Linked DNA regions of Lytechinus pictus. The protein of the gene in region 4 binds, or shares a complex with, the protein of the main gene of each other region. Links are inferred from orthologs where the notes say so. Each region holds a gene or a part of one and is shown on either strand. Other genes may lie near its edges. The genes, in order: nucleolar transcription factor 1-A-like, DNA-directed RNA polymerase I subunit RPA12-like, DNA-directed RNA polymerase I subunit RPA49-like and DNA-directed RNA polymerase I subunit RPA2-like.

Region 1 (6,968 bases), on a different chromosome or scaffold from region 4:
CAACTTATTTCATTACAATGGAGACGCATCATTTACACATGTATGAAAAAATCAAACATTTATGATTTCATCTAGTAACATAAAAAAAAGGAAAGTGGAGATGTGACATCAGCCCACCTAATGAATATTCATGACGAAGTGCATACAACTGTTTTCACAAAATATTGATAAACTTTAAAATTCAATAACTTCTTGTTATCCTATTTTGATGAAATTTTCATCATTTTGCTTTTTAAACTTGTTCTGGGAACTGCTTTTTGAAAGTTGTCAGCATTAACAAGTTGTCTTTTTCCGACAGTTACCATAGTAACAGTCAGAGGCCAGTGCTTCTCAGCCAATCAAAAGCAATGATTTCACTGAAATAGTCGGCACTGACAATCATGAAATACCCATCAGATGTTAGCAGATAATGTGCAACATAGACTCCTAGATACATATATGCAAACATACATAGTCTAAGTCTTTATTATTAAAATAAATGTATAGGTATAAGGTCGAGGCAATTTCATCTCTGCGATGTCAATTTCAGAAGTATTCCCAAGACCATGTGAACTTACTATACATGTTGTAATAAAAATGATGATGTGCTGTCTATCATTTATAATTGAATCATTGAAATATGGAACTTAGAGAAGTTTCACTATCCCATGTATTTTCTTTATGTGCAGATATAATTTTACACCACTGAAATTTTGTATTACGGTATTCACTGTACTTATTATTTTTCATTCCATTGTTTTTTTTTCTAATCTTCAGATACATCGCATCTACCAGCAAAGATCAAGTGCCACTACAGGAAAGGAAGGTACCTGTTTCACGTTTCCTCTTCAGAGCCAGTGAGGGCCCCAAGATCTCAATAAATAATAATTAAAAAAAGACTCCTTTATCATTCCTTTAAAAATAGTACATATTATTTATTGAAGGTAAATGCTTAGATGCATTATATTCAAATTTTGTCTCCAAGCTAGCATGTAAAAATTGGATTGACTACATATTTACTGTGTAAGTTAATGATCTTTGTTGACACATAATACAAGAATTATACACAGCATGTTACAGTTTGTAACATAATTTTCTTTCATTAAATTCCTAGTTTAAATACCATATATATGTTTTTTGTGACTTTTGTCATTCTCTGATGATTTTTGGTACAGATTTCAAGAGACTGAGGGATTGATTTACCAGAGCAAGTTTACAGTCCAATCCTGTTATATTGTGCATGTGGAAATTAACAAGGTTTCAATACAATGCTACAAATTTACCTTGATTCATTTCATCAGTCCTATGTGCAAGAATAATTATTTCACTTGTCCATGCACATTGTTATAACAGGAGTGGACATTCAATGTAAAGATAATTGAAGATAATTTATAATTGAAATAACCGCCTGAGAGGGGGGGGGGGGGTGTTGGTACCAATATTCTAATGTGTGTGTGCGCAAGGAAAACGAAGGAGTGATTATATGAGAAGAGTAAAAGATCGGGAATGTACATATCCACATGATTCATTTTTGTTTATGCTATACATTGCAGGGTGTTTCTAACTGGTACCACTTGACAATTTATGTTTCCAACTGGTCCTAACTGGTGCTTCCAACTTGTTCTAACTGGCACCAGTTGACAACTGGTGTTTCCAACTGGTTTTAACTGGCACCAGTTGACAACTCATGTTTCCAACTGGTCCTAACTGGCACCAGTTGACAATTGGTGTTTCCAACTGGTTTTAACTGGCACCAGTTGACACCTCATGTTTCTAACTGGCACCAGTTGACAATTTGTGTTTCCAACTGGTTTTAACTGGCACCAGTTGACAACTCATGTTTCCAACTGGTCCTAACTGGCACCAGTTTACAATTGGTGTTTCCAACTGGTTTTAACTGGCACCAGTTGACAACTCATGTTTCCAACTGGTCCTAACTGGTACCAGTTAGGACCAGTTGTCAACTGGTACCAGTTGCTAACTGGTACCAGTTAGGACCAGTTGCCAACTGGTATTTCCAACTGGTACCAGTTACAATTTGTCAACTGGATTCCAGTTGATTCCAGTATTCCAATTTCCATATTGAATCCAGTTCGCTAACTGGAATCAACTGGTACCAGTACCAGTTGGATGAACTGGTCCTTAACTGGTTTTTTGACCTGGGCATGCAAAAAAATACATCAAAGCAAAATCTACTAGCATCCTGCCAAGTTTCATACCTGTAATACAAAAAACATGGGAATAACACAAGTTTGAAAACATGTCATGTTTTTCATGGTGCCATTCTCACAACAAAGTAAAATAAAAGAATGACCTTTGACCTTTGACCTTTGGTATATCATGTCCAATTGCCGAAACATAATTGGGCATAACTAACAAATCATTGGGTCAATTTTCAAAATTCAAAGTTTTCTGAGAGCTGGAAGAGTTCCTCTTTCCAATGGTATCAATTGCAAAGCTAATCACAACTTCTAAAACTTCTATAGGGTGCTTTTCGAGACACCATGGACATGGTCGCGCAGGGTATCCACTTGTCAATGGAAGGGGTATCCACTTGTCAATGGAAGTGGTCCCCCGGTCCCCTGGGGCCATCACATTGGGTTATCGCATCGGGTCAGGCAATCAAGTATACCCAACCATTCAATAAAGGCCCCCTTAAATTCCTGAAATGTCGGGTCAGTTTAAACCCAAGTACATATAAATACCCAACCATTCAAAAAGTTTTCAGTTTTCACAAAACATCGGGTAAATTGGACCGAACCTTTCGGAAAGTTAGGGGGCCCTTTTCTCGAATGGGGCAGTTTCCTCGCATGGTCATGTTTCGCGATTGCCCGACCCGACGCGATAACCCAGTGTGATGGCACAAGCCATTCAGATGTAGCATAAAAAATGTTATTGTTAACATATTCTTGAAAAAAGTTAGAGCATACCTGATAGATTCAGTTGATCAATTTCAAGAGAATTGACAGAGTCATAAAGGAGATCATCAGAATCCTCATCCTGCTTCAACAAAGAGAAGTTAACCTCCTTCATCTCACTTCCAGTTCCAGAGTTCTTCATGTCCTTGTCCAGCAAAACTCCAGAAGTTTTTAGATCACACTTCACAATTTAGATATCTTATCTTATTTATTATCCAGGCAGTTATCGTGAAATGTCTTGCCTTCTTCTGCTTAAGCCCTTACTTAGCCTCGGCTTAGGCCGGCGATCATCAGTCAGTCCGACGTCCAGGGCCAGGCGGTCCGCCTGGCAAGGCCAAGCCGTGCCCATTCCCAGGAAAGCTAAGATGGGTCCCTCCTCCCTTTCGCCACTACAACAAGTCCAAGGGCGCTCCCTGCTCGCTCGCGCTCCTGTCCAAGGGTCAGGGGATACCGTACAGTGCTCGAACTGTTAGTGTATTGTTGGTTCTGCACTGTCACTGCAGCTGCATGCCTGTATACGTACAGTACTGAAGTAGGCACCAGCTGGGAGTGGGACAGCTCGACATCGACAGTGCAGGCTAGCTGCATGATGCGATGCGCTCCTCACAAGCGCAGCTCAACTGAATGGAGGTTTTTTTTATGTAAGGGAATTAGCATGTTTTATTTCAGAACTGAAAAAAGTTAAACATGTACCAGACCGTCCTACGTAGGATTTAGAAATAACTAACGTTAAGCATATAGTAAGTTAGATCTCTACGGTAAATTCTGACAACGTTTTCCATTTAGGGTGCGTAGCAGACGACCCTGCTGCTCGTATGACATGACGTTGGTTGACCTCTTATCGCACTCCCTCGATTTTTGGCGCGGGCAGTTGAGGCGGGCAGATATCACGAGTCTCATGGTTTGCCCGCCTGGCCTAGCCTGACGCCTGCCTGATGGTTAGGCGGTGGTGCGGCTGCTTATCAACGACAAACGATGTAAATGCGCGATCTTGTGTACGTCACATTCGCTTGAATGATTTATGATAATTTATGTAAATCTTTGAGATTCTATTGGTCGTTGCGTGTTTACTGATCGATTTCGTAAACAAGAGTGTCATCCTTGGTCACTCCGATTGAAACATTAGTTGACGGGCTGCGTTGTGCATGCCGTGTTTTAAATATAAATCAAAACAATATTCGTGAACGAGGTTGTAGATAGCGGCCTAATTAATATAGTCCACGTGAGTAAAGCTAGCCGAGGGGATCAAAATTAAATATTGAACTCTGCCAGCCGAAGATCTTTGTGTGTGAAATCAGTGATGTGGAATTAATTAAGTCAATAACTACCCAAAGTCATAAACACTCATTAGATTTGTTATTATATAATTTTTTCAAGGGTACTATTTTTTGTTCTCGGTGCGTACCGTGATGATCCTGGCGCCTATGCAGCCGATAGACACCGCGCTGGATAGCGGGCGCGGAGGAAGCGGGTCGGGACCCGAGAGCGTTGGGGCGAATCAAGAAGTTCTAGAGACAGCCATCATGGACGCTGAAAGTAAGTGGACATTTTAATTCCGTATTTTTGCGTGTGTTTGTGAAATATATTTACTTCATTATTACCAGATTGTAGTTCATATTTGTGAGGTCATTTTCGCTACATTCCCTCTTAGAAATATTTCGTCATTTTTATGTTATATGCGATTTTATTAGCCGATTCAGCAATCAAGATGGCCGGGTAAGTCTCGGGTATGTTAGCATAGGAATCCGCTCATCAGCTTTTGTGCGTCGAAGTTCCGGTATGGAAATAGACCGTTTTCTGTTAATTTTATCAGAAATTACAATTTGTTTATATTCTAATCATATCTATGGTAGTTATGTATCCATCAGTAATTGTTGCTGTTTCTTAATATTTTGAGCATGTTGAGATTAAGACTTGCAAATATTGATGTTCTTCCATGAATTTGTTAATGAGCCAGCAAGTTTGATTGACGCACGCCGCGTGTGTAGCGGCGCGGACGTCGCCCCACGCTGGCGAGTCGTGAAACCCGTGACTTGATCAAATTCCCGGGCATCCCTGTGTAACGGGCTGAGCTGAAAAGCCCGCAGTGCTGCGGCATGGTCGCCGCATTATCGAACGAGCTTGTTTGTCAGCCATGTCGCTGCCGTTCTTATTTTCAATGCCAGGGAGTAGCAGCCCCCGGGCGGGCGGGGCTTACTCTCGTGCGATGGCGCGGCTATGACGTGAACAGAATATCCTTGTGAATGTCGTGTGGTATTTTCTCATACCGGTACGTGACGTTGTTCGCGAATGTTCTCATTTTCAGAATGTTTACTTTCAGCTTTGCCTTTGACTCTCGAATACTATCGCTAGTTAAGATTTTAGGTATTGTTGGAGCGATTTTGTAGTGCTCTATTCGTTAGGTTTTGACATTGTTTGTTGGAAGTGACCAGTAAGAAATATTTTGTGGTCAGTAGACCCTGTACTGCCCATTCATTCATCGGCTCCTCCTCCGTCGTCGGGCGGTGCGTTGTGGTACCGTTCTGGCAGTCAACCCCCCGTTTTGTGGGCAAAACCATTATTTATTCTTTGAGCAGGGTCTAACTGAGGTAGAAACTACAATCAACTTCAATTCTATTGCTTTGCTTCAATTCAAACTTCAAATGCATCACTGGAGTGATCATTAGATCTACTTGAATTTTGGCCTCCCCCTTTTTTAAATACAGATCATCATCATGATATATAAACTTGATGTTTTTTTTTTGGGGGGGGGTTAAATTATGTCATAATAATTGAAATAAAGATCTAGGCTTAGTCTAGAATAAAATAATTCATTCAACATGTCCAATTTACTTTGTCTTTTGTGGTTTTGTTTTAGAAATTTATTTTTAAAGATGTTGCTTTTAAGCTAAAGGTAAATGTAGACTGTATTGTTATTTTGGGGGATTTTTTTTCATTGTAAAATCATAACGATGTTTGAAAAATAATGTTCTAATCTCCTGCCTAATCTAAGCTTCATTTTTTGTCTCACCTGAACAAAGTTTGGCAGAGACCTAGTAATATCACTTTTCCTTTACTTTTTTATGCCCCCGCAGACGAAGTCTGGAGGGGCATTAAGCATTGCCCCCGTCCGTCCGTCCCCCACTTGGTTTCTGCGCAATAACTCAAAAAGTATTTAATGGATTTTTAAAAAATTTGGTGTGTAGGTAGATGACACCAAAATACAGCCAGGCTAAGTTTGAATTCTGAGTCCGCAGGTCAAAGGTCACAGCTCATTAAATATGCAAGTTTGTTTCCACCTTATGAAGTATTCAACAGATTTTTAAAAAATTAGGGTGTGTAGGTAGATGACACCAAAATACAGGCTATGTTCGAATCAATTTATTGTCATTTCTATCAATTGCATTTGACATTTTATCAATGTTAATTCAATTTATGTTTTATCTCTACCGTTGTATAATTATACTATATCTGTTGATTTTTTGCTTGTAAATTGAACATTTTCAGCCTGTGAGCTGCCTGTTTGATTTTTTTTCTTTCAATAAACCATACCAATTCAATTCAATAGGTCACAGCTCATTATATATGCGAGTTGGTTTCCTCATGATAACTTTGGAAATATTCACCAGATATTAAAAATGTTACGTGTCTGGGTAGATGACACCAAAAGATAGGTCACATCAAATGACCTGACTGTCATATCTTCTGTGAGAGATTATTATGGAAAGGGTGAGTCTTCAGGTCAAAGGTCTAAATTTGTTCATTATTTTTTTCCAATTTTTTTTTTGCACAATATTAAGTTCAATCATATTGAATGAATTTCTGATCATGTTAAGCAGGGGCATCTGTGTCCTCTGGACACATCAAATTTCTAGTTTTGTTCTGAAATTGATTTTTAAAGATGTTACTACAAATAAAATGTTTTAAGCTAAAGGTAGATGTAGACTGTATTGTTATTTTAGGGGATTTTTTTATCATTTTAAAATCATAACAATGTTTGAAAAATAATGTTCTAATCTCCCGCCTAATCTAAGCTTCATACCTAGTAATATAACTTTTCCTGAACTTTTTTTTATATGCCCGTCCTAGAGG
Region 2 (7,598 bases), on a different chromosome or scaffold from region 4:
ATTAAAATTTTTTTTGGGGGCTTGTCAAATGTTTACTTCGGGGTCGAAATATCATTAGTTTTTGGTTGAAAACCTTTTTTTTGTGTGTCAAAATTTTCCTCCAAAAGCTTTGCCCCCAGTGGCGTACCTACGGGGGGGGGGCCTGGGGGGCACGTGCCCCCCCCCCCTGAGATTTGGTGTGCCCCCCCGGTGCCCCCCCCCCAGAAAAAATTGGCAGAGCAAAAAAAAAGAAAGAAAAAAAGGGAGAAGAAAAGAAAAAAAGAAAAAGGAAAAGAAGAAGAAAGACAGAAGAAAAAAAGAAAATAAGAGGAGGAAGACGAGTGAATGAAATAATGTAATTAAAAAAACAAATTTTTTTATGTTACTATACGAAATTTTTGCTGGCGCTTCGCGCCAGAATTGCCTGTTCGATGAGATTCATATCTTGCTCAATAGGCTGATATGGAGCAAGTTTTGAAGTCAATATGCAAAACATATTTTAGCTCGACATCGAGCTTTCATTATTTTTTTTTCATTTACAAATTTAAGTAAAATGTCCGTTTTATGGTCTACATATATCAGCATTTTAAGCTCACGCTGCGTGGTCACATTGTTCGATTTGCGAAGTTCATATTGTCTACGTGTATTCCATAATGTTCCATCAAACAAATGTATTCAGAATGCCCAGATTCTAGGTCTACAACACGCGCGATAGCCTGCATGTTCTTTATTTAAAATGTACATGTACTTGAATTATCCAGTATCACATCAGAATATCAATAATTTTATTGTCTGCTCACGCTTCACGATCGCATTATTAATGATACCCAATTGACTATATCCTATTTATGATTTACAAAATATGAATAGAATGTCCCGCTTTTAGGTCTAAAATCTCAATTTTCTTCCTCGATCTCGCGCTTCGCGCTCGCATCAATTGTTTAGTTACATACCTATCCCATTTATTAATACAAAAAGTGCTTAGAATGGCCATTTTTTAGGTCGGAATGTAAAAAAAAAAATTGCTCGCGCTTCGCACTCGCATTATCGAAATATATACCGTCTTCGTGGGTAACTGTAAGCAGTCCTTAACAGTTCCATTTTCGATAATGCTAGAACAGTTGATAAAAATTTCTGTTCGCGCTTGGCGTTCGCAGTAGCCATCTAGTTACATACGAATCTTGTTCAGGATCACACATAACATTGCCCAGAAAATTAAATTTAAAAAAAAAGAAAGTTTTAAAAAAATCGCTCGCGCTTCGCGCTCGCACTTTTTATCAGGCTTATGAGATTATTTCATGTTTATGTTGTTTTATAAGAATAAAACTAAGAAGTGACTGATATAGGTGAAGATAATTTCGGGCCCCGTCCCCTATTGGCGAAAGTCGGATCCGCCCTTGTGACACATACACACACACACACCGGAAAAATGGTCGGTGCCCCCCCCCCCCTGAAAAAGCAAGGACCCCCAAGTGCCCCCCGGGAAAAAAATCCTAGCTACGCCACTGTTTGCCCCCCCCCCCCTTTGGAAAATCCTGGATCCGCCCCTGAACATAGGGACATATATCTCTCTCTCTCGATCTGTTTTGATCCTCCGCTCTTCGGAGATTAGCGATAAATCGCGGTCAATAGCATAGATGGATGAAATCTAGCTCATTAGTTAGCATGAAGAGTACAGGCTATGGGCATGAATTTTATATATTATAATGAAGAGTCATTTTCAGGATGAGGAAGGGAAGGGCCATAAATATATACGGCAAGAGAATGGCGCAAGTAATTTCAAAGGGATCCTGGGTGTTGAGAGTAGGCCTAATTCTTGGAGAGGATTGAAGAGCATCTCGTAAGAGTTTGCTCACTTTGGCCAGAAGATCAGTGCGTATAGATGGAGGGTTGACGGACAAGCAGCAATAACCTGAGTCACTGTATCCTCATCATGGCAGAGAGGACATTTCGAATCAGTTTCTTTCTTGAGTTCGGGTGAGCCGAGTTCGGGTGAGATATGTTGATCAATGTCACAAGTTGTGCTCTGATCATGGAGCTATCTGTAATAGCTCCATGCTCTGATGGTTAAAGGTCAAGTCCACCCCAGAAAAATGATGATTTGAATAAATAGACATAAATCAAATTAGCAACGCGGAAAATTTTATCAAAATCGGATGTAAAATAGGAAAGTTATGACAATTTAAAGTTTCGCTATTTTTCACAAATAGTGATATGCACAACATGCAAATGAGTCAGTCGATGATGTCCCTCACTGTTTCTTTTGTTTTATATTGGGGGTGCTGAGTATTGTCACAGCACCCCCATAATAGATAATCCTCCGTGGCCAGGTCCATGAGTGACAATTAGGACCAACTTGACTGAACCATATATTAAACAATACTAATTCCACATGTTCAGGGCCCGGTTCAGGGAGGAATTAATTGTTGTTTCACTTGACAATCAGGAGAAAATAAGAATATTTCATATCTCATATAATAAAATACAAAAGAAATAGTGAGTGGATGACATCATCAGTCTCCTAATTTGCATATCGACCATGCAGGATGTGCATATAACTGTTTTGTTAAAATGAGCGAAACTTTAAAATGTCATAACTTTCTTTCTGATTTTACATCCAATTTTGATGAAATTTTCAGTGTTATGCTTGTTTAATTTTTCTTTTTTTATTCAAATCAAATTTTTGTTGGGGTGGACTTGTCCTGTAAAGGTCAAGTCCACCCCAGGAAAATGCTGACTTGAATAAATAGAGAAAAGTCAAATAGTGCTAAAAAATTCATCAACATCAGATATGAAATAAGGGAAAGTTATGACATTTTAAAGTTTCGCTTTTTTTCACAAAACGGTGATATGCACAACTAGGTGAGTCAGTTGATGATGTCCATCACTAACTATTTTTATTTTGTTTTTTATTGTTTGAATTATAGGCCTACAATATTTCATTTTTTATAGATTTAACAATAAGGACCAATTTGACTGAACCGTATCAAACAATGCTAATTCCATATGTTTAGAGTGGAATTAATCATTGTATCACTTGTTAATGAGGAGAAAATTAGAATATTTCATATTTCATATAATGAAATACAAAAGAAAAAGTGAGTGGATGACATCATAGTGTCCTCATTTGCATACCAGCCAGGATGTGCATAGGCCTATAACTGTTTTGTGAAATTAAGCGAAACCTTAAAATGTCATAACTTTCTTATTTTACATCCGATTTTGATGAAATTTTCAGAGTTATGCTTGTTGGATTTTTCTCTTTTTATCCAAATCAACGTTTTGTTGGGGTGGACTTGTCCTTTAATGATTGTCTGATAATAGTTGACAGGCGCGGATCCAGGAGGGGGCCGAGCCGGCCCCGGCCCCCCTATTTTTTGACAACCTGCAGAAAAAATGTACTCCAACTTGATAGAAACTATGAAAAACAGAAAGAAAAGTAAGAAAGAGGTATTATACCCATGATGTGTAATTCACAGCATCGTAACAGCCGGCCCGACCCCGAAAGGAAACAAGAAAAAGGTGAGGGGAAGAATTGGAAAATAGACTTTATATAAAAAAATCGCTGGCGCTTCGCGCTCGCATTGCCTGTGTAATGAATCCCATTCAAGAGGATTAAATGGCACTTAATATATCCAGTTCTGAAATCAATTTGCACACGATATTTTAGCTCGCACATCAAGCTTTCATTATTTTGTTTGATTTACACAAATTGTTAATTAATACCAAAATTTTTAGCTCGCTATGCGCGCTTGCATAGTTTGATTTGTGAGATACTTATCCTCTTTGGAAATTCTTACCAAAATTTGTAAAAATACTCCTGTATCATGTCAGTATATCAAAAAATTAAGCTCGTGCTTCGCGCACGCATTTAATTGTTTTAGACACACAGCTTTAATTGTTCTTTATTTTAATAAAAATGCGCTTAGACAGTCCAGTTCTCAGGTCGGAATATCAAAATTTTTTAGCTCGCGCTTCACACTCTCATTATTTAATTGGTGATACTTGTATCCTCTTCATTAATCACTAAAAACTATCGAGTCCCTTTTCACGTTACTATAATAAAATTTCGGCTCGCGCTTCGCGCTCGCATTGTTTAGTTGGATAATATTGCATTGTTAAATTGAACATATCTTTGTTCATGATTACAAAAACTGCTCAGAATCTTCAGGTCTAAGGACATAAGATATCAAAGAATTTGAGCTCGCGCTTCGCACTCGCATTATATATTAATACCACATGAGATATCTTGTTTATAACAATAAAAACTAACATATACTTAAAACTTCAGTCTTTAGTTCGGACTACCCACCAATATTTTTCGGTCCCCCCCCCCCCCCCCCTATTGGCGAAAGCTGGATCCGCCCCTGGTTGATGGAGGATCCCAAGATGGGGTAGAGATTCTTAAGGTTGATAGTTTTCCCATGCCAGAATTTGTGATAGATGCACCATCTAGTGTACGTAGTTCGTTTGCTCAGCAGAAAGAGAGATTGAGTTCTTCACCTTCCGTTTCCATGAGTTGTAGGGAAAGTTTCTCCTAGATCTAATTAAATATTAGTACAAATCTCTTTAACCTTACGACCACGCCCACATTAAACGTGAAAATTCGTATCCGATGTATATTTTCATTACCACGCGGTACGGTATCAATTGGATGAAGGATGGATACTGGAACAACTTTTTCTGTTGCCAAGGAAATCTGTCCGAAATGTGGCACAGTTTTACCTTTTCCAAAGCGTGGCACATTAGACGTCTTTTGTAAAATTTGTGACTTTAAAACTAATGCTACAGGTAAGTTGAAGACGGCAAACGTACGTTGACCCGCTGCTCTGTCTGAGTCGAGTCTGAAGACGTATCTGCTGGCTGCCTGCGTCTGCCGGGCAGCCGGGGCACTCCGCCCAGGGAGCTCCGGCCCGCGCCCGCTTAGCGGGCTGGAGCTCTCTGGGTTAGGCTTGTTATAGCGACCCACTAGCTCTAGAGTCTAGCGAAGCGATCAGCGCGGTGAAGCTTGTTCTTGTTTTGGAAACTACCCACAACGAACAACAACATTCATGGGCCCAGCTACCTCGAGCGAAGTTCGTGCAGTCTCCACTTCACTACCGCTACACTAGTACAATCCACCTACCCGAACTTCGAGACGGTGAACCAGTTCGGATATACTGAGTCACAAAGGTGGGGATGGTAATCATGTTTATCGTAAAAATTAAAGAAAAAAAAAAAAAAATTTTATAACAAGAAAGATGAATAACTTAATATCTTACTCTACACCCGTATTTCACTCCGTTTCCATCCTCCGGTTATCCTCAAAATTGGTGATTTTGGGTCAGTATCTATTCCCTTACACGTATTATTCACGGCCGATTTAAAAACATCGCATGCGATCGCGATCGGCCGCAGGTCAAGGCCGATCGCATGCGATGTTTTTAAATCGGCCGTGAATAATACGTGTAAGGGAATAGATACTGACCCAAAATCACCAATTTTGAGGATAACCGGAGGATGGAAACGGAGTGAAATACGGGTGTAGAGAGACCGAAGTTTTAACTCAATTTGTACAGGGACTGTGTGTGTATTTGAGTTTTGTCAGACGTGTATCAATCAGATATGATTATTTACGTCTGGGACCGACCTTTCGTCACCATCTGAAATACGTGACACAGGTCCGAACCTCTGCATCAATTTGTAACTTCCCCACAGCTTGGATTACAGGGGCACGCCACAACGCCCACTCAAATGTTTATGTGTTAAGTTTGGATAAACAAGGGAAGTGGGAGTTGCGCGACAGCCGTAGTAAGTCACTGTTTTTTCCCCTTTAAAGTTTATTTTTTCCTGTTTTGATGCATTTCAGGCCAAAACCGAATGATAATCTTTATTTTGGTCCAGTTCTTTTTATATACAGTACTTTTATGAAATACAATAATCGATGAGCCTCATCGGGGGGATTTTGCATTATTAACCCCCTAATGGTGGCTGCACGATTGCGAGGAAATCACGAGGAGAAATAAATAAAATAAAAATGTTAAAAAACTCCTCGAAACAGACGGCTGCCAGCTGCGGTCTACCATCACATTTAAGAGCGGCATCTACGTCAACAAAAAGTGCCATATTTTAAAAATCTAGATCTAGCAATTACACCTACAGTGTTGGACTGGATCTTATGCTTTGTGGTAATATGTTCCATTCTTTAATCAAGCTATCACAAATGAATTCAAAGCAGTTCTTGCAAACGGTTGATGGATAAGATTTCTCTGACGTGTATTATACGTATGAATCCTGGAGTTAACAACAAAAGCATCTGATAAAAATGACAAATTTTGAGTCGATTGTGATTTGTACATGGATATCAAACAGTTCAAGGATATTAAATCATAAAGAGGCAGAATGTTGAGCTGCAGAAATAAAGGAATACAGGGACTTCTGTAATTCAAATATGTAATGAGTCTGATAACTTTCTTTTGAAGGATCAGTATAGTTTGTTTAAATGATTCCTATTTCCCCACGCATCATTACAATAAATTAAGTAAGGCACAATGATGGAGTTACTAAAGTTTGTTTGGGTAAAAAGAAACGCAACATATATCACGGCAACACTCTGAAATCTTGGTACAAACATTGCTGACCTGATTTTTCCATGATAAATGATCATCTCCAACTCCTAGAAACCGCACATCTTGACTATGATTAATCTAATCATTCTGATGACCTATTGATAATGAATCTATATATCAGGCATTCTTCTACCCCTTGTTCTAAATACAACATATTGTGTTTTACTAGCGTTTAATAAAAGCTTTTTACAGCAAAACCATTTAAATATATTTTGAACTTCAATATCTGTCGACAATATAAGATTATGCATACCTTTGTGATAGGAGAGTAAGCAAGTGTCATCAGCAAAAAGTGAATATGTAAACAACTATGATGAATTTGTAATGTCATTGATATAAATCAAGAACAATAAGGGACCCAAGAATCAACCTCGGGGTACCCCATAATTCACCTTCCTAGATTGTGATTTAACTCCATTGATCATTACTTAACTGTAATCTATTCTTTAAGTAATTTTCAAACCAATTTAAGGCTACCCCATGAATGCCATAATGCTCAAGCTTGTTTAATATTATCATGATCCATAGTGTCCAATGCCTTCGATAAATCTAAAAACACACCCATACAATTCTTTGGAAAGCCAATTTGTTGTGGGATCATGTTAGATCCATCTATTGACACAATTTGTTTTTCAGTGACCTAGGCTAAGACGTGCCAATTCCATTAGGTGATAGCCATAATAACTTGAAGCCCTATTTATTTTCCAAGTAGGACTAGGCCTAATGTTAGTCTATAATGAATAAACATCAGATGTATTTGCTTAGACCGAAAAATCAGTCTATTTCTTTCAGGGATATGCTCTGCGGCATCCCCTCCGTCTGTGTAGGAGGAGGACAAAAAAAAAATCATTTTCTTTTAAAGAACTCAGAAAAAACAGCGGATATATCAGTCCAGTATTTGCTCAACTCTGCACACCTCCGCTCTGCTCTGCTAAGTGAGCTCATGTGTGTAATGTAAATTCTTTTAAGATGTCCGATAATTTTTAGGAGAGTGCCTTATTTAGAAAGGTG
Region 3 (7,340 bases), on a different chromosome or scaffold from region 4:
ATGTCATTAAACGGATATGTATCTCACTGATCAAATAATGCGAGCGCGAAGCGAGAGCTGAATTTTCTTTATATTCACACCTAAAAAGAGACATTATAATCAAATTTGTGTAATCATGATAGGTACCTGTCTCGCTAAACAATACGAGCGCGAAGCGCGAGCTGAATTTTTCGTATATTTTGACCCCAAACAGCGAGATTTTGAGGAATATATTTTAGGAATCCATTAAGAGTATGCATATCTCACCATAGTCATCTAATGCGAGTGCCAAGCGCTTGCTGGTTTATAAAAATTACATCTGAACTCATGAAACACTTTTTGTAGTCATTGCAATCATGATTATCATACGCATCTTCACTAATCAAATATTGCGAGCGCGAAGCGCGAGCTGAAAATTTATATAATTCAGACCTGAAGTGGGGCATTCTAAGGTTTCTTTGTAGGAATTAACTAGGACCATACGTATTTCAATATCCAAATGATGCGAGCGCGAAGCGCGAGCTGAAAATTTTTGATATTCAGATCAGAAGAAGGGACATTTTAAGGACTGATTTTAAGAATTCATGAAGAGCAGACATATCACACCAATCCACTAATGCGAACGTAATCACGGACAGGAAATGTTTCATATATACGAAGACCTTAACATGGGGAAATCACTTTTTGAGTCATGAAAAAGAAGCAAATGTCACTACATAAAACAATGATAACTCAAGTGCTAGGAAATATATTTGGTTTATATTGACTTGAAAACGGGATGTTTCAGTACAACAGGATTATATATCTCGTTAACAGACAATGCAAGCACCAGGAACAATGAATAAGTAGGCCCTGGGCAAATTATGTTTCATGAAGTTATGATAAAAATGTTTCTTATGTAATGTAACATAACATAATTATAATATAACATTATAATGAATAATATTTTCTTCTTTCTCACTATACGCTTCTCTTACTTTCTCCCTCTTTTCTCATTTTCCCCATTTTTTTTGGTCAGCCAATTGGGGGGGGGGCACGTGCCCCCCATGCCCCCCCCCCCCGTAGTTACGCCATATGGCAAAAACCCCTCCAATATTATTATCTTTTTTAACCCATGATGGTTTAATGGTTTTATTAGAGAATACATTAAAAAAGAATTGACATTGTATCTTAATCCCTTCCCAAAGACCCCAACATTGACGAATTTAAGAAACGGGAGTTCCTCTTCAATGTTATAATAAGGACATAAGTATTTCGTTTGGAAATGGTGAACTGGCTCTTTATTTGCACTTTATGATTCAATAATATTGTTTTATTTGTTAAGCGGTATTTCAGGAAGAATTTTCACCAATAAAACAATTATCTCTTGTGATTTTTTTTTCATTTCTTTCGTGAAAAGTGGGGGGATGTTTGTACAGGCCATCCCCCCTCCTCGAAAAGTGGGGGGGATATATCCCCCCACCCCCCCCCCCCCGGGATTTACGCCAGTGGTCTTTACAATAATATTTAGGCCCTATATCTCTACCAACATGACCAATTACGTCAACAGCCATGAATAGACAAAGTCTTTCATGATTACAAAATTGATTATATTTAAACAAACATTCCCATGATCGTTGCATCGAACATGTCGGAAGGTTCTCTTTACCACGATGAACCAATTGTGATGGCGGCTCAAGTGCTTCCAAGGTCACTGAAGGTATAAAATGTCGTTACTTTTTTCTTCCACATTTTCTTCTGGGGGCGGGAGGTAATAAACTACAACAAAATTGTATTTTCTTCTTAAATGATTTTAAGCAAAGTGAACAATTGTTTGGACAATGGAAGAATTTGGAAATGTCCTACGATCTTATATAGGAACGGGGTTGTGTTCCTATCGGTGTTTTGATATCAAGGTGATAATTTTGCAGATAAGCAAAATTAATGTGTCACCTGATTGGAAATATAAATATTATAGAACAATATTAGCTTATTACTAGAGACTGTGTTTATTTTCTCTCATGAGGTCATGATCATTGATCTAGTCTATATCTTTCGATGTTGATTTCAATTTTCTATAGACCTATGAGGTGTTCGACTCAGTAGCATGGGAACGAGTTTTTTTTCAAGAGGGGTGCTCGTTTGGAAAAAAAATAATTGGAAAAAGGGGGGTTTTCGCTCAAAAAACTTTAAAAGGGGTGATTTTGGTCAGTCAAAGTTTGAACAAGCAAAATGGCAACAACAACAACAACAAAACGCAGAAAAATGAAGGTGATTTAGGTCAATACAGTTTAGCATACCGATTATATTTCCAGGGGGTGCTGCCCAGTGGATGCAAAGCATACGCAGCACCACTAAAAAAAATCACGCACGCTTCCCAGTGCCATATGGTTCAACTATATAATACACATTTTAGAGACTGATCTGCATTAAAAATCGCATTATATTATGCCCATTGATACTTTGCCATCATTTATGGACTCTGTTATCGATATCGTCTTGCTTTTTTCCCCGTATATGTAATATGGTCATTATACCCGAATGGAAAGAAACAATTAAGGGCGTATGCTGGTTTGAGCATCATGGGAGGTGGAACTTTAGTGGTATGGGGGATGCACATCTTGGGGAGGCGGAACTATAAGGTTTTGAAAATCAGCTGTTTAAAGCCGAAGAAAGGGTGCAAATTTCGTTTTGTTTGCCAGTGTCGGAACTCTTCTGCCTCAGCGAGAGGGTGCACCCCACTAGCGTACCTACGGGGGGGGGGCAGTCTGCCCCCCTGACGAGCCACAACCCATGCAAAGGACGTACCCCTGCCCCCCTGACGAGCTTGAAAGACCTTTTTTTGCCCCCCCCCCCCCCTGACGAGCTTGAAGACCTTTATTGCCCCCCTGACGAGCTTGAAGACCTTTTTTTTTTTTTTTTTTTTTTTTGCTTGTCAAATTTTTGGGCGGACGGTTTTGCCCCCCCCCCTGTGGAAAATCCTAGGTACGCCACTGGTGCACCCCTCCCCCAGCCTACTATACGCTCGGCTTGACTCTCACAGTGGAAGAAGGTGGAAGCATTATGATGATCAAAGCGACAAGGATGAGGAAAGAGACGGGGCGATGGCTTGTAACTATTGATTGCTTGATGGATGGATTAAATTCGCCAAGTCCCCTAAACCATGCGATTTTGTGAGATTTTTTTTGGTCCGGGGTATATAGGGGGGGAGTCGGGTTCCTAATGGAATCGGAGGGTAATCGCCCCTTCGATTCTTCAAATGATTAATTGAGGAAGGGGGAAAACTGAAGAAAAAACAAAAGGAGGAAAAATGAACAAAGCATTTATTATGCGCCATCTAAACTATTACGAGACGCAGGAAGGATAAGGAAGAAAACGGAATGATAAGTGCTTTTGTGTAGATATCTTTGACGCCTACTTATTTTTTATTGAGATAATGTCATTTTAGACGACCCTAGAATCCCTTCCCGAAATCTCCTAGCAAAATATCCTGGCGCGGCCCATGATATATGGCCAAATAAGGCTCAGTTTTACATCATATAATTTTGAAAAGTATATTGCACCCTTGTCTAAACTTAAAGTCAATTGGGAACTGAAAGAGATCCCCATTCGGAAATATCTTTGTACCCAATATACCTAGCGATTTCTTGGGCCGAACCCATGAGGAGAGGGCGGCCGGGGGTCACCATGGCCCTGGGAAGCGGGATGAAGCACCCCCAATATTTTCCTTGGGGTGCCACTTTATTATTATCTATAGGTGCAGCACCCCATATATGCTGGAAGGTGTGTAAAAATAATAAAAAATTGTAACCAAAATTTTCCTTTGTTTTTTAGTAAAACCTACTTGTTTATTTTTCATTTTATTTTATTTTTTATTTTTTGCTTTTCAAATTTCTTTGGGTCAAAATGACCTCGTTTTGTAATGAAAACCTTGTTGTTTTTTCTTTTCAAATAAGCATCAGCACCCCTAGTTAAAAAAATCATTGCCATTTTGACAAGAGTTATGAAAAACTTTTGTAAATACTATAATGATTTTTTTTTTCATATTAGAAGGATGCACAAGAAAAATATTTCATAATGTATACATCATATTGGTAATAAATATCATTATATGAGAAGTAAGATTTTCTAAATAAAAAATAAGTCGATGGCGACAATAGTCTAATGTGACTTATCGCCACTCAAACCAACATAAGATGAAGTTCCCAGGGCCCTGGGGGCCATCCTTGGGCCCCGGCGTGGGCCCAGCATCCGAGAGTGTGTAGCAACAACAACATAAAAATTCCCACCATCTGGCATCAAGTGGGGGTGTAGTTGGAGGGTTATTTTCTTTGTTACATTATCTACATTGGTCCCCTAGGAAATGATACCAACCATCACTCAATTCGTCATCTCAGCTATCGAGGCTCCCTGTATAGAAATTTTAATATTTCATTTTCCAAATCGGAGACACCATACTGCTTCAAGATTTTGGTGTTGCGCAATCGCCGAAGTACCTGGGTTGAATTAATTTTATTCGAAGACGAAAATGATGGCCACATGTTCATTTATTTCAAGTGATCAGGAGAAACCAACTCTAGGTTCGTTATTTTTCATCTCATTAAACAAATTATACAAACAATAAGATGCGGTCATGTAGAGCACGTAGATCTAGGGTTAATAGAATATTTACAGACTTTCTATTACTCTGAAGTGAAGAATCAAGCTGATCTGGACTGAAGAAGTCGCGGAGTCTTTGCTTTATATTAGACCCATGTATTGATTATGCTGTAGTGTAGGGCCTACTGCATCGCGGTTCCGTGGCGTGGGGCCCAGGTCCACTGCACTCTAAGCACCAAGGCTATTAATTCCTGTGTTAAAAAAGTGAGTGCACGCGAATTAAATGTTGGACTTAAATTACTAGATCTTACCATGGAGCTCCATGACGAAATCTGTTCTTAAATTAGACTCTAGATATTACTAAATTGAAAAAATGTACTAGGACTAGGAGTGAGTAGGACCCACTCCTAGTAGTACCACTACCAATGAGGTCCAACATTACATGTATGGACCTCATAGGCGACATCAGTAGTATTTTGTGTCAGAAATCTTTGTGAAGATGATTATTTTTGTATTTTATCAAAACTACAAGCTATCGTACTGTCTAATCATTACATTTCGATCTCACTAATTGAATACATTGTTAGCAATAAAAAAAATTGAAAGAAATGAAGGGGAACTTATATTTTCACGGCTTTTTCCTGATTTTCTGGGCAACTGCTCTTCTCTTCTGACTCGCGATCGAAGCTGATATGAAGATCACGTGATTCGCGTTCTCGTCAGCTGATCGGTTGGTTATTCTTTTCGTCAGACGTTAATAATATATATTTTATAATGCTAGCATTCATCGCTAATTTAGGTGAAAGAGATTGAAGTTAAACAGCGCCAGGTCGGAATCATAATTATTTTGGAAGAGTGTATTTATACACTCGATCTCATACCTGACGTAGACGGCGCTATTCAACAAATGCCCAATCTTCAATATAAAAAATAAAACAGAAAGAACGCCTTGAACACAGGCCAAAATGCCTAACGATTTCTTCGCGGCATTAACAACTATCGTAAAGGGCGCTCCATTTATTAATAAAGATGGACGTATAGCTGTCTATGGCGACAAAATTTGCCGCAAATATTTACGAAGAATTGTGAGAAATGGTCTGAAAATGCAACAAAAGAACCGGTGAGTACCGATTAAACATTATCAATTTATTTAATAGAACATATTTAATTACTACAATGTAACAATTTCTAGATAATATTGCTTAGTTCTAAGCTAGGGAGGCCCAAACGCGCGTGAGCGGAGTCCCACTTTATTAGCACGGGTAAGTATTGGGGTGTCGCCTAGAGTGCTAGGACCTATAGTACTCGCGCCTGGTCTTTTCTTGGGGTATTGAATTGAAGCCTTTTTGTCCAGAACTTGCTCAACTTTTGCGGCAAATTTTGTCACCATAGCCTTGTGCACATTCTCGTTTAATACTGGTTGTCACGTGACACGGCAATGTCGTTAGGCTGTTTGGCCTGTACTCAAGGCGTTCTATCCGTTATGATTTTATATTATAAAGTCAAAGAGGGGCCTAAGCTTTCGATCCTAGCAGAATCTTCGTCGGAGGCAAAATGACAAACATATAAAGTGGAACAACCATAATATAGACCACAAACAAGCTACAGCAACACTAGAAACAAGGAGACAAAAGGGGCATTAGTGAGTAGAGAAGACCAATCAGGTTAGTGAAGGGGATGAAAAAAAAGGAGTAGGCAGACACAAAGGGAAGTTAGTGTAAGTAAGGCCAAGAGGGATTAAGATAATGAGGCAGGCAACATCAAACAGGATCTGGAACAAAACAGTGATAGAGGGATGAATAACTAGAGAATTAGTGAGAGGTGGGTCAAACAGGTTACAAAGAAAGGCTTAATAAACTGGTGCATAAGAGTGGGGGGAAAAAAGAAGAAAAAGAATGGGGAACAACTGATAATGTGCAAAAGACATATAATTATATATGATAAAGCATTAAACAAACTAAGAGAAGAAGGTAAGTGTAAATATGTATCTATAAGTGATATGTATATAAATATATCCAAAAAAGAAATGTATATGAAAAAATATATAAATATATACACATATGGTGTAACTGATATGGTAATCCGCTAGGTGTGACGGGAAAAAACATAAGACTATATAGTAGGAAAGAAAAAAAAATCTGTATATGTGAAAAAGAGGAAGCAAATTGCCTAAAAAGGTAAAAGCAAATATAGAAGAGAGGGGGTGTATTATGAAGAAACCATAGTATACATGTAAATAAGCAAATGTGGTAAATCTAAAAGAGGTGAGTGGAGAAAAAACAAATATATATATATATATATAATAATTATTATATCGCCTGAATAAGGAAGGAAAAATTGGAGCTGAGCTTGTATGAGATATGGGAGGAAAGTAGAGTAAGAAACTATAATGTAACTATTCAAAAGAGCTGAGGGGAAAAATTATATGTATATATAAATTGAAAGTGGATAGGAAAGAAAAATCAGTCGTTCCCCTCTTGGATGTTCAGGCCATGAGGTTGGGTGGTGCGAAGTCGTCTCATCCAGAGCTTCTCCCTGCTAGTACGGACTGAGTCAGGACGGGTACCTAAAGATTCGATGCCCTGTAGCATCATGTCAGTGATGGAGTGGTTGGGGAGGTTAAAATGGCGGCCAACTGGAGTGTCCAGCTTTGCTGTGTTGACGGTGGATCTGTGCCCGTAGAATCGTTTCTTGAGTGTGGTCTTGGTTTTATATTGAATGAAGCTAATTCCATCAGGTATAGGCCCCTATCAAGTCAAAATCGATACAGGGATCGAGAGGGG
Region 4 (6,946 bases):
TGGCTTGATTTTTCTGTGCGCGGCGGCATTACAGTGGCCTGTACTTACGAGTGAAGAAGAAGATTTTGTTCCGATTTATGCTAAAAATGACCCTGGAAACTTGAATAAGGGGCCCTGGAAAATCCTTCTTCATTGCAATGTAAAAAAATCCAATGTAGCAGATTTATTGGGCAATAATTTGCAAAAAGGAGCCCCTGAAAATAACTGTTTTTTTTTGGCTGCCATTGATGCATTAGCCCCATTTACTGTACATTCATAAGGAAAAAAAGATAAATTACACACACCTAGTAAATGTGGAAGAATACGACTTGACTTGATTGTACCATCTGAGTGCGTTGAAGAGGTCTGCTGCTGGGCCCCCAGTCAGTGCTTTGAAAACGACAACATCAGCCTGGGATACAGTGTACCTGAAATTGGAAGAGAAAAGTAACTAAAGGTAAACTGATGTAAATTCTTTTCATTCATTCGGGTGTGTATACTATAAATACATAAAGGTTTTTTTTTTCATGAGGGTAGTAACAAAATCTGTAACCACAAGCTACATTGTACGTTGATTGAGTCTAGATGCAACTCACAATAAAAATAACCCTTTTAATTCAAAGTAGGTTCTAAAAATAAAATAATACTAGGGTGGCACCAGATTTGTGCTGTAGACATGTGTCAAAAAGTCAATAGGTGAACTTGCCTCAAATTTTCATTCTATATTTTGAGTGAACAATGTAGTTAAATGTGGCAACATTTTCTGGCAGCCAAGTAATGTGACATGTTTCCATGGCTCCTCACAGAGGCTCAAACAGTCTATAAAGACTTAAAAATGCCTATTTTCAGCCACTAGCCCACAAAGTATAGCCTATGGCCTGGGGATGGGCCAAAATGCTGTATGTATGCATTTCCAGACACATTTTATGGCGCATTTAAGCCTTATTTCTAACTATTTAGTAGGAAATTTCATGGTCAGTTTTGAGCAATGTCTTTGACAATATAATGCTAATAAAGAATATATAATAAAGGTAACGCTTTTTAGTAGAAATGCCGTTTCATTTTTTTTTGCCCTATCTAATAGTAATTCAAGATTTGTATAGCGCACTTTCCATGTTGATCTTAATTAGATGCTCAAGGCGCTCAGAGCGGAATAAAATAATTGTTTTCTAAAAAAACACATAAAAAACAATCACATTCTTTTTATGTAGGCCTACAATAGGCTACATGTATGTTGATTTAATCTTAGACTAGGGTGTCTGGAGAATTTTTTTTTCTTATTTCAAGGAAATATCACATTTTCTTTGTGAATTTGAAGAGAAAAAACCTTCAGACTGATAGAAATGTAATATTTTTTGAAAAAATCCAATTATTGGCTGCAAAAAAGAAGAATGAAATTAGGTCAATTTTCAGCATTTCCCTGCCATATTACTGTGTAGTTAAGAAATGGACACACACAAATCCTAATTTTTAGCTTCCGAGAGCTGTTATAAATTTATTATTAATGCCAAAAACTTGTCCATAAAGTGTCTAGTAGGAATTTTTATGCTCTTTCCGATGGTATGATTTTTATAAAGATTTGGAAACCAGATCACAATGAAGAATTGCGACAAAGTGAAAAAATTTGTGCAAAACAGAAATTTCATTTTCCCATAGAAAATGCATGGGGAAATAACAATCTCAACACACAGACAAATAAGGGTTTGCAATTTATCTCTAAATCCTTATTTCAAATAATCCTATAAACTTGTCCTTACTGTCAAAAGAAGCCCCTGAATTTTCTTTCAATACATGCCAAACAAAAGTTAATAATCAATTCAGATCACATTTTTTTAGCAGCCTGAATTTCCTGAAAAAAGTGTGCCATATTTTCCCCTAAATCAGCCTGTCTTATGCTGACACTTTTCAGTGTGGCTTCAGACACCCCACTTAGACAGGAAATAAACAACTAAAACCTGAAAGATGACTTGAATAAAATAAAAACAAAAGAAAAATCACACACCAAAATTTTTATTATCAAAAATGGATGTGAAATAAGAAAATTGTGTGAGTTTTCACAAAATGAAGGTGATATGACAGAGGTGCTGGTCAGAAAATTGGGATCGTCCCAGTTTACAGGGACTGTCTCAGTTTTCAAAGATTTCTCCACACAAGAAATCTAACGTAGGAAAGTTCATTCACCTGTGAAGTGCCGATTGATGTCGGCACTTCACAGGTGAATGAACTTTCCTAAGTTAGATTTCTTGTGACATCAATCCAGTGCACTAGTCAATGTAATGTAAACATATCATCAGGTTTCATAACAAGATTATTGGAAATGGAAGACAGAAAGTCATGAAATATAGATTATAGTCATAGACATAGTCCATAGACGGTGAACTGGGGGAATTGAGGTCACTTAATCTATTTTTAGCACTCTCAATCCCGCAATTATCGCTACCCCAAATAGCGATTTTGCCGAGATCCGGGAAAAATCCCTGTAACGCGCATTGCATTATGGGATAGCTTTTCGGTATTAAAACTTCCTGTTCGGAAGTCCAATGCACTGTTTTGCCATTCAGATCAACAGTGCCGTCATGCACAACAACACAACGTCGCTTTCGCTCGGAAAGTTCGTGATCACAACCCTCTCTTTCACGATACAGTTTAACGGCCTTTTCTGCTAAAGTCACTAATTCTGCCTGACGCTTTCCATTGCACGGTATTCCTCTGTCAGTTAAGATTTTTTAAAGTTCCAAAACTGATTTTTTTTTTATCCATTTTGTGGTCGACGAAAAATTGAACGGAATGAATGCTGTAGGCTATATATTAAGCGTCTAGTCGAATACGATCGTGATGTCAGGCCGGTCGCTAAATGCGAAATTTTAAGATACTCATTTTTTGTTTAATTTTTTATAACCAAATAAAAACATGAATAAAAACTATTTTCACATGAAATATATTTTTTATTTTTATTTATAATTCAAATGGAATCAAAACTGACCAAATTAGATAAAAAGTATTATAATCTGTACATATCGCTGATTGGCATCGATTTCAGCGTGGTGGAAAACTCAGTATCGCGAACCTCGCGCGAGCATGACTCTGAACCGGAAGTGGTGATGACGACCCGACGGAGTGAAAATAATCTCGTCTCGCGCATTATGAGATTTTTGTTCCTATTTGGGGTAGCGAGAATTGCTGTCCATGTCCCGCAGGGCTAAAGTCACTAAGTGAATGAAGAGAAACTGTCCCAATAAACAAGGACAATCTCAATTCATCAAGACATGATTTGTCTTGCCTTGGTTATGACATGATGAGGATATCCTTGTTTTCTGAGACTGAGTGAGAGTGAGACAATCCCAATTTTTGGACCAGCGCCTCTATCTACCTGTCTACTGACAGAACCAATCACACACAGCAGTATAATTATCAATAAAAAACCCATTGTGGTTTACTTTCGTATGCTAATTTACTATTAACATTTGATATCCCAATCATGCCTATGGTACCCATCTCAACTTGAACATCGCAGTGGCAGTGCAGGGCAGACACAGCACGCAGCTCAGACTCAGTTAACCCAGGGAGCTCCCGCCCGCGCGGGCGGGAGCTTCCTGGGTTAAGACTCAGTCAGCTCACGCCACGCCTCGCTAGACGCTACCTCGTATGTTGTTGAATCTTGTGAAATAAAAAGAAAATTACCCTTCAATGTAACTGCGATCTGATAGGAAATCATTAAGGGCACCGAGCCCACTGCTGCTTTTAAGATCACCGAAACCCATTTTTGCAAGATAAGTTTGTTAAAAGTCGGAGTTGAGACGAGCAGCAAGTGAATCACACGTGTACTTTTCAGGAAAGGATGAATAATTGGATGACTCTGGAACTGGGCACGCACAGCACACAGTATACATACATTGAATGTAAAAAAGGGGGGTTCAGCGAAAAAAAATCTCGCATGTGCGAAACGTCGATGCACTTGCGCTTTGCCAAACAAAACTGCAGTGCACTGCAAGTGCGAATGGAATTGTGAATGTGGTAAGGTGGTCGCCCAAAATTTGTCAAAATGAGTGATACACCAACTTACCGTAACTTAACAAATGGAGAATATGGGAGACCGAAAGAGTACCAGAACAAGGTTGATATATCATTCGTTTTAAATCTTGAATTTACCATGTAATAAGGAATGTTTCGTGTGCATGATTTGGTGTAGTGTGAGAAGTTGTAATATTGTGTACATTAAATCAATGCCACAGCGAACCGACCTGAGTGCGGATATTAGGCTCCATGTTATAGACAGCTGGCAGCCGTCTGTTTCGAGGAGTTTTTTAAAAACATTTTTATTTTTTTTTATTTCTCGTACACAGACGGCTCGCTATCGTGCAGCCACCATTAGGGGGTTAACAATGCAAAATCCCCCCGACGGGGCTCATTGATTTTTGTCTGACTTAATTTCATAAATATATAAAAAGAACTGTACGTGTACCAAAACTAAAAAAAGGCAAAATAAAGATTATTAATATTCCGTTTTGGCCTGAAATGCACCAAAACGGGGAAAAATAAAATTAAAAGGGGAAAACACAGTGACTTACCTCGGCTGTCGCGCAACTTCACTTCCCTGTTTTATCCGAACTAATAATTACATGAACATATTAATATTAATTATTATAAATGGCCATAATTGGGTCCCTGTACAGATTGAGCTACAACTTCAGTCTCTGTATTTGGTGAGTGGAGCCAACGGAGTTCAGCGGAACAACCAACATACCAGAGACTGAAGCTTTTGGTCTAGGTCCATGTTATGATTCAGTGACATAACTGACATACATTACAGCTGACGGAATATAATCTCCTCCACTCACCGGAGGAGGGAGACGAAGAAGTATGATTTCATCACCTGCAATTTTATTATCCTTGAGCTCCCTGGGTTAAGTTTTCACGTGCTACTACTTGCAAAAGCTATTGTAAAGTTAGATCTTTATAATAAGGAGAGCGTAACGTTAGAGCTTGAAGTTAATGTTTAAAAAAATTGAAAAATCTTATTTAGATACCTAACACGAACAAAAGATGTAGAGACTCTAGACTTTAAATCTGATTTTTGTCTCGTCGATCGTCAACAAGTCAAAAGTTTAACTTTTTGAAACCTGGACATATAGCTAGGAGTAGGATATTTAAGTGTCACCAATCATGGTTACTGATCATTTGAGTTTCAGGTATACAAGTCACATATCACAATTGGGGTCAATGAACTTTGTCCTTGTGGTACATGTATCTTAAATTTAACAAGTATAAGATATTGAATTTTTAAGATAATTTTGAGAAATGAGTACATGTACATGTTCATAAAACTGATGGTGATTGCAGGCCTGGCCTATGCTACTATTATGTTCTTCTTATCCTTGATGAAGTTAGAGGTTAATACATGGCTGGTGTTTACAATTGATTTTGATTCTGTCTTTTTTTTTCATTGTGAAAACAGCTCCTAGAAGATGCAGTGCGCCCTCACATTGAATCCTTCAATTACATGCTTGACGATGGATTAGCACAGGCAGTGAGGAACATCAATCCAGTGGAGTTCCTATTGGATGATGAAAGAATTTCACTTTCATATGAGGTATCATTAGAAAAGATTTGAATAGTATTTTGAAATCAAATAATATGATGAAATCTAATTTTTTTTTATCAGTATGAAAAGTTTGATTTGATCCAAAAGATTCCAGAGTGACTGTGGAAGAAGATAACACATGAAGTATTAAAAAAACAAAGTAAACATTGTACTTTTGCTTGATAGATATCAATGTTCTTATGTTTCTGAATAGCTGAGTAGTTTAAATGAGAGAAAGTTGGAGACAGAGTTTTACTCATGAAAACATTACTCTGGAATTGCCATTGCATATAAGTATGAAAATGGGGCATTATACTGGTACACTGTATATGCACAAGTATGGATTGCCATTAATAGTAATTTTCAGCTATCTTGTTTCATTCTAATTTCTAAAATGATTCATCTCCATCTTTACCCCCAAGTATTCCTTATATAAAAAAAGTGAAAAAATACTTCTTTCTACATTTTCCTTAAAATTCACATGAAATCCCGCCTCATCCCAAACTTAAAGGGGAATCCAACCCAAATAAAAACTTGTTTTTATAAGAAAAAGAAAAGTCAGACAAGTTGATAGGTGAAAGTTTGAACAATATTGGACAAACAACAAGAAAGTTATGAATTTTTCAAAGTTGGAAATATTGGTAATCACTATACTCATGGAGACTTCAAATTGGCCGCATATGGGATGTCATAGTGATGTAAGGCAAGGACTACTCTTCCATGTACTCCACTACATATTATGGCTAAAATGTCATTTTTCCTCAAAGTTTTATTTCAAATTGTATTTTTCTTTCATGAGGACATTTAACAATATACTACCTGGGTTATATTTAGATTACTGCCCCAGGGGAATGGGTACTTAGGAGAAAACCACAAATCCCTGATAATAAAGTACATGGCCTATGGGAAGGTTGTCCTTGCCCCTTGTCATAATTTACTTACCCAGTTGCCAATTTGAAATCTACATACTATTAGTGATCCCAATTTTAAAGCAGCTATGACTTTCTTATTTCTTGTCCGATTTATTTCAAATTTTCACCATTCTGTTTAATTTATTTTTCTCCTTCCCAACACAACATTTTATGACCAAGGCTGGATTCCCCTTTAATTTCATCTTTATCCTTTCTGGCCCATAGTATTCCTATCCCCTGGGTCACCTGTATATCACAATATGCTCTGATGTTGTGAATGTCCTGTTCTTAATTTTATTGTTATTTATGTTTTTTTTTTCATAGGATACATTCATTCTTTGTGATTGTTTTTTTTTTCATAGGATGCATTCATTGGTGTACCAACCATTGCAAGAGGAAACCTGTTTGCTTCTACTCTTAAAGTCTACCCATCAGAGGTAGGTTCAGGGTGACCGTTTCATTAAAGTTGTCAGCA

What was found.
Region 1: DNA-directed RNA polymerase I subunit RPA2-like (region 4) and nucleolar transcription factor 1-A-like share a complex: the UniProt entries of both Homo sapiens proteins name them as parts of the pol I pre-initiation complex. The link is inferred for Lytechinus pictus from reciprocal best matches to the Homo sapiens genes POLR1B and UBTF.
Region 2: DNA-directed RNA polymerase I subunit RPA2-like (region 4) and DNA-directed RNA polymerase I subunit RPA12-like share a complex: the UniProt entries of both Homo sapiens proteins name them as parts of the pol I pre-initiation complex. The link is inferred for Lytechinus pictus from reciprocal best matches to the Homo sapiens genes POLR1B and POLR1H.
Region 3: the proteins of DNA-directed RNA polymerase I subunit RPA2-like (region 4) and DNA-directed RNA polymerase I subunit RPA49-like are in contact, whole or in part, in a cryo-EM structure (PDB 8A43), measured with the Homo sapiens proteins. The link is inferred for Lytechinus pictus from reciprocal best matches to the Homo sapiens genes POLR1B and POLR1E. Residues at the interface, in NP_061887.2 of Homo sapiens: Lys254, Ser258, Phe259, Ser260, Tyr262, Gln263, Gln266, Ser295, Thr296, Gln297, Ser338, Thr340, Glu341, Ala532, Cys535, Pro541, Ile542, Asp543, Gly544; in NP_071935.1 of Homo sapiens: Gln27, Ser29, Asn30, Gly31, Tyr69, Thr76, Leu79, Lys80, Cys81, Leu84, Cys85, Met109, Gln110, Pro111, Leu112, Phe113.

The regions. Positions count from the first base shown.
Region 1 is NC_087245.1:35,362,834-35,369,801, reverse strand, and holds the start of nucleolar transcription factor 1-A-like, read left to right. Parts: upstream 1-3,948; 5' UTR 3,949-4,306; coding exon 4,307-4,433; intron 4,434-4,956; exon of another isoform or gene 4,957-5,166; intron 5,167-6,968. UniProt on the Homo sapiens protein: Recognizes the ribosomal RNA gene promoter and activates transcription mediated by RNA polymerase I (Pol I) through cooperative interactions with the transcription factor SL1/TIF-IB complex.
Region 2 is NC_087259.1:27,112,581-27,120,178, reverse strand, and holds the start of DNA-directed RNA polymerase I subunit RPA12-like, read left to right. Parts: upstream 1-4,587; 5' UTR 4,588-4,640; coding exon 4,641-4,770; exon of another isoform or gene 4,771-4,850; intron 4,851-7,598. UniProt on the Homo sapiens protein: Core component of RNA polymerase I (Pol I), a DNA-dependent RNA polymerase which synthesizes ribosomal RNA precursors using the four ribonucleoside triphosphates as substrates. Can mediate Pol I proofreading of the nascent RNA transcript.
Region 3 is NC_087245.1:24,112,265-24,119,604, forward strand, and holds the start of DNA-directed RNA polymerase I subunit RPA49-like, read left to right. Parts: upstream 1-4,318; 5' UTR 4,319-4,486; coding exon 4,487-4,538; intron 4,539-7,340. UniProt on the Homo sapiens protein: Component of RNA polymerase I (Pol I), a DNA-dependent RNA polymerase which synthesizes ribosomal RNA precursors using the four ribonucleoside triphosphates as substrates.
Region 4 is NC_087257.1:11,052,442-11,059,387, reverse strand, and holds the start of DNA-directed RNA polymerase I subunit RPA2-like, read left to right. Parts: upstream 1-3,930; 5' UTR 3,931-4,021; coding exon 4,022-4,093; intron 4,094-5,434; coding exon 5,435-5,569; intron 5,570-6,833; coding exon 6,834-6,908; intron 6,909-6,946. Other genes in the region: elongation factor 1-beta-like, read right to left, coding at 285-407, 3,661-3,740. UniProt on the Homo sapiens protein: Catalytic core component of RNA polymerase I (Pol I), a DNA-dependent RNA polymerase which synthesizes ribosomal RNA precursors using the four ribonucleoside triphosphates as substrates.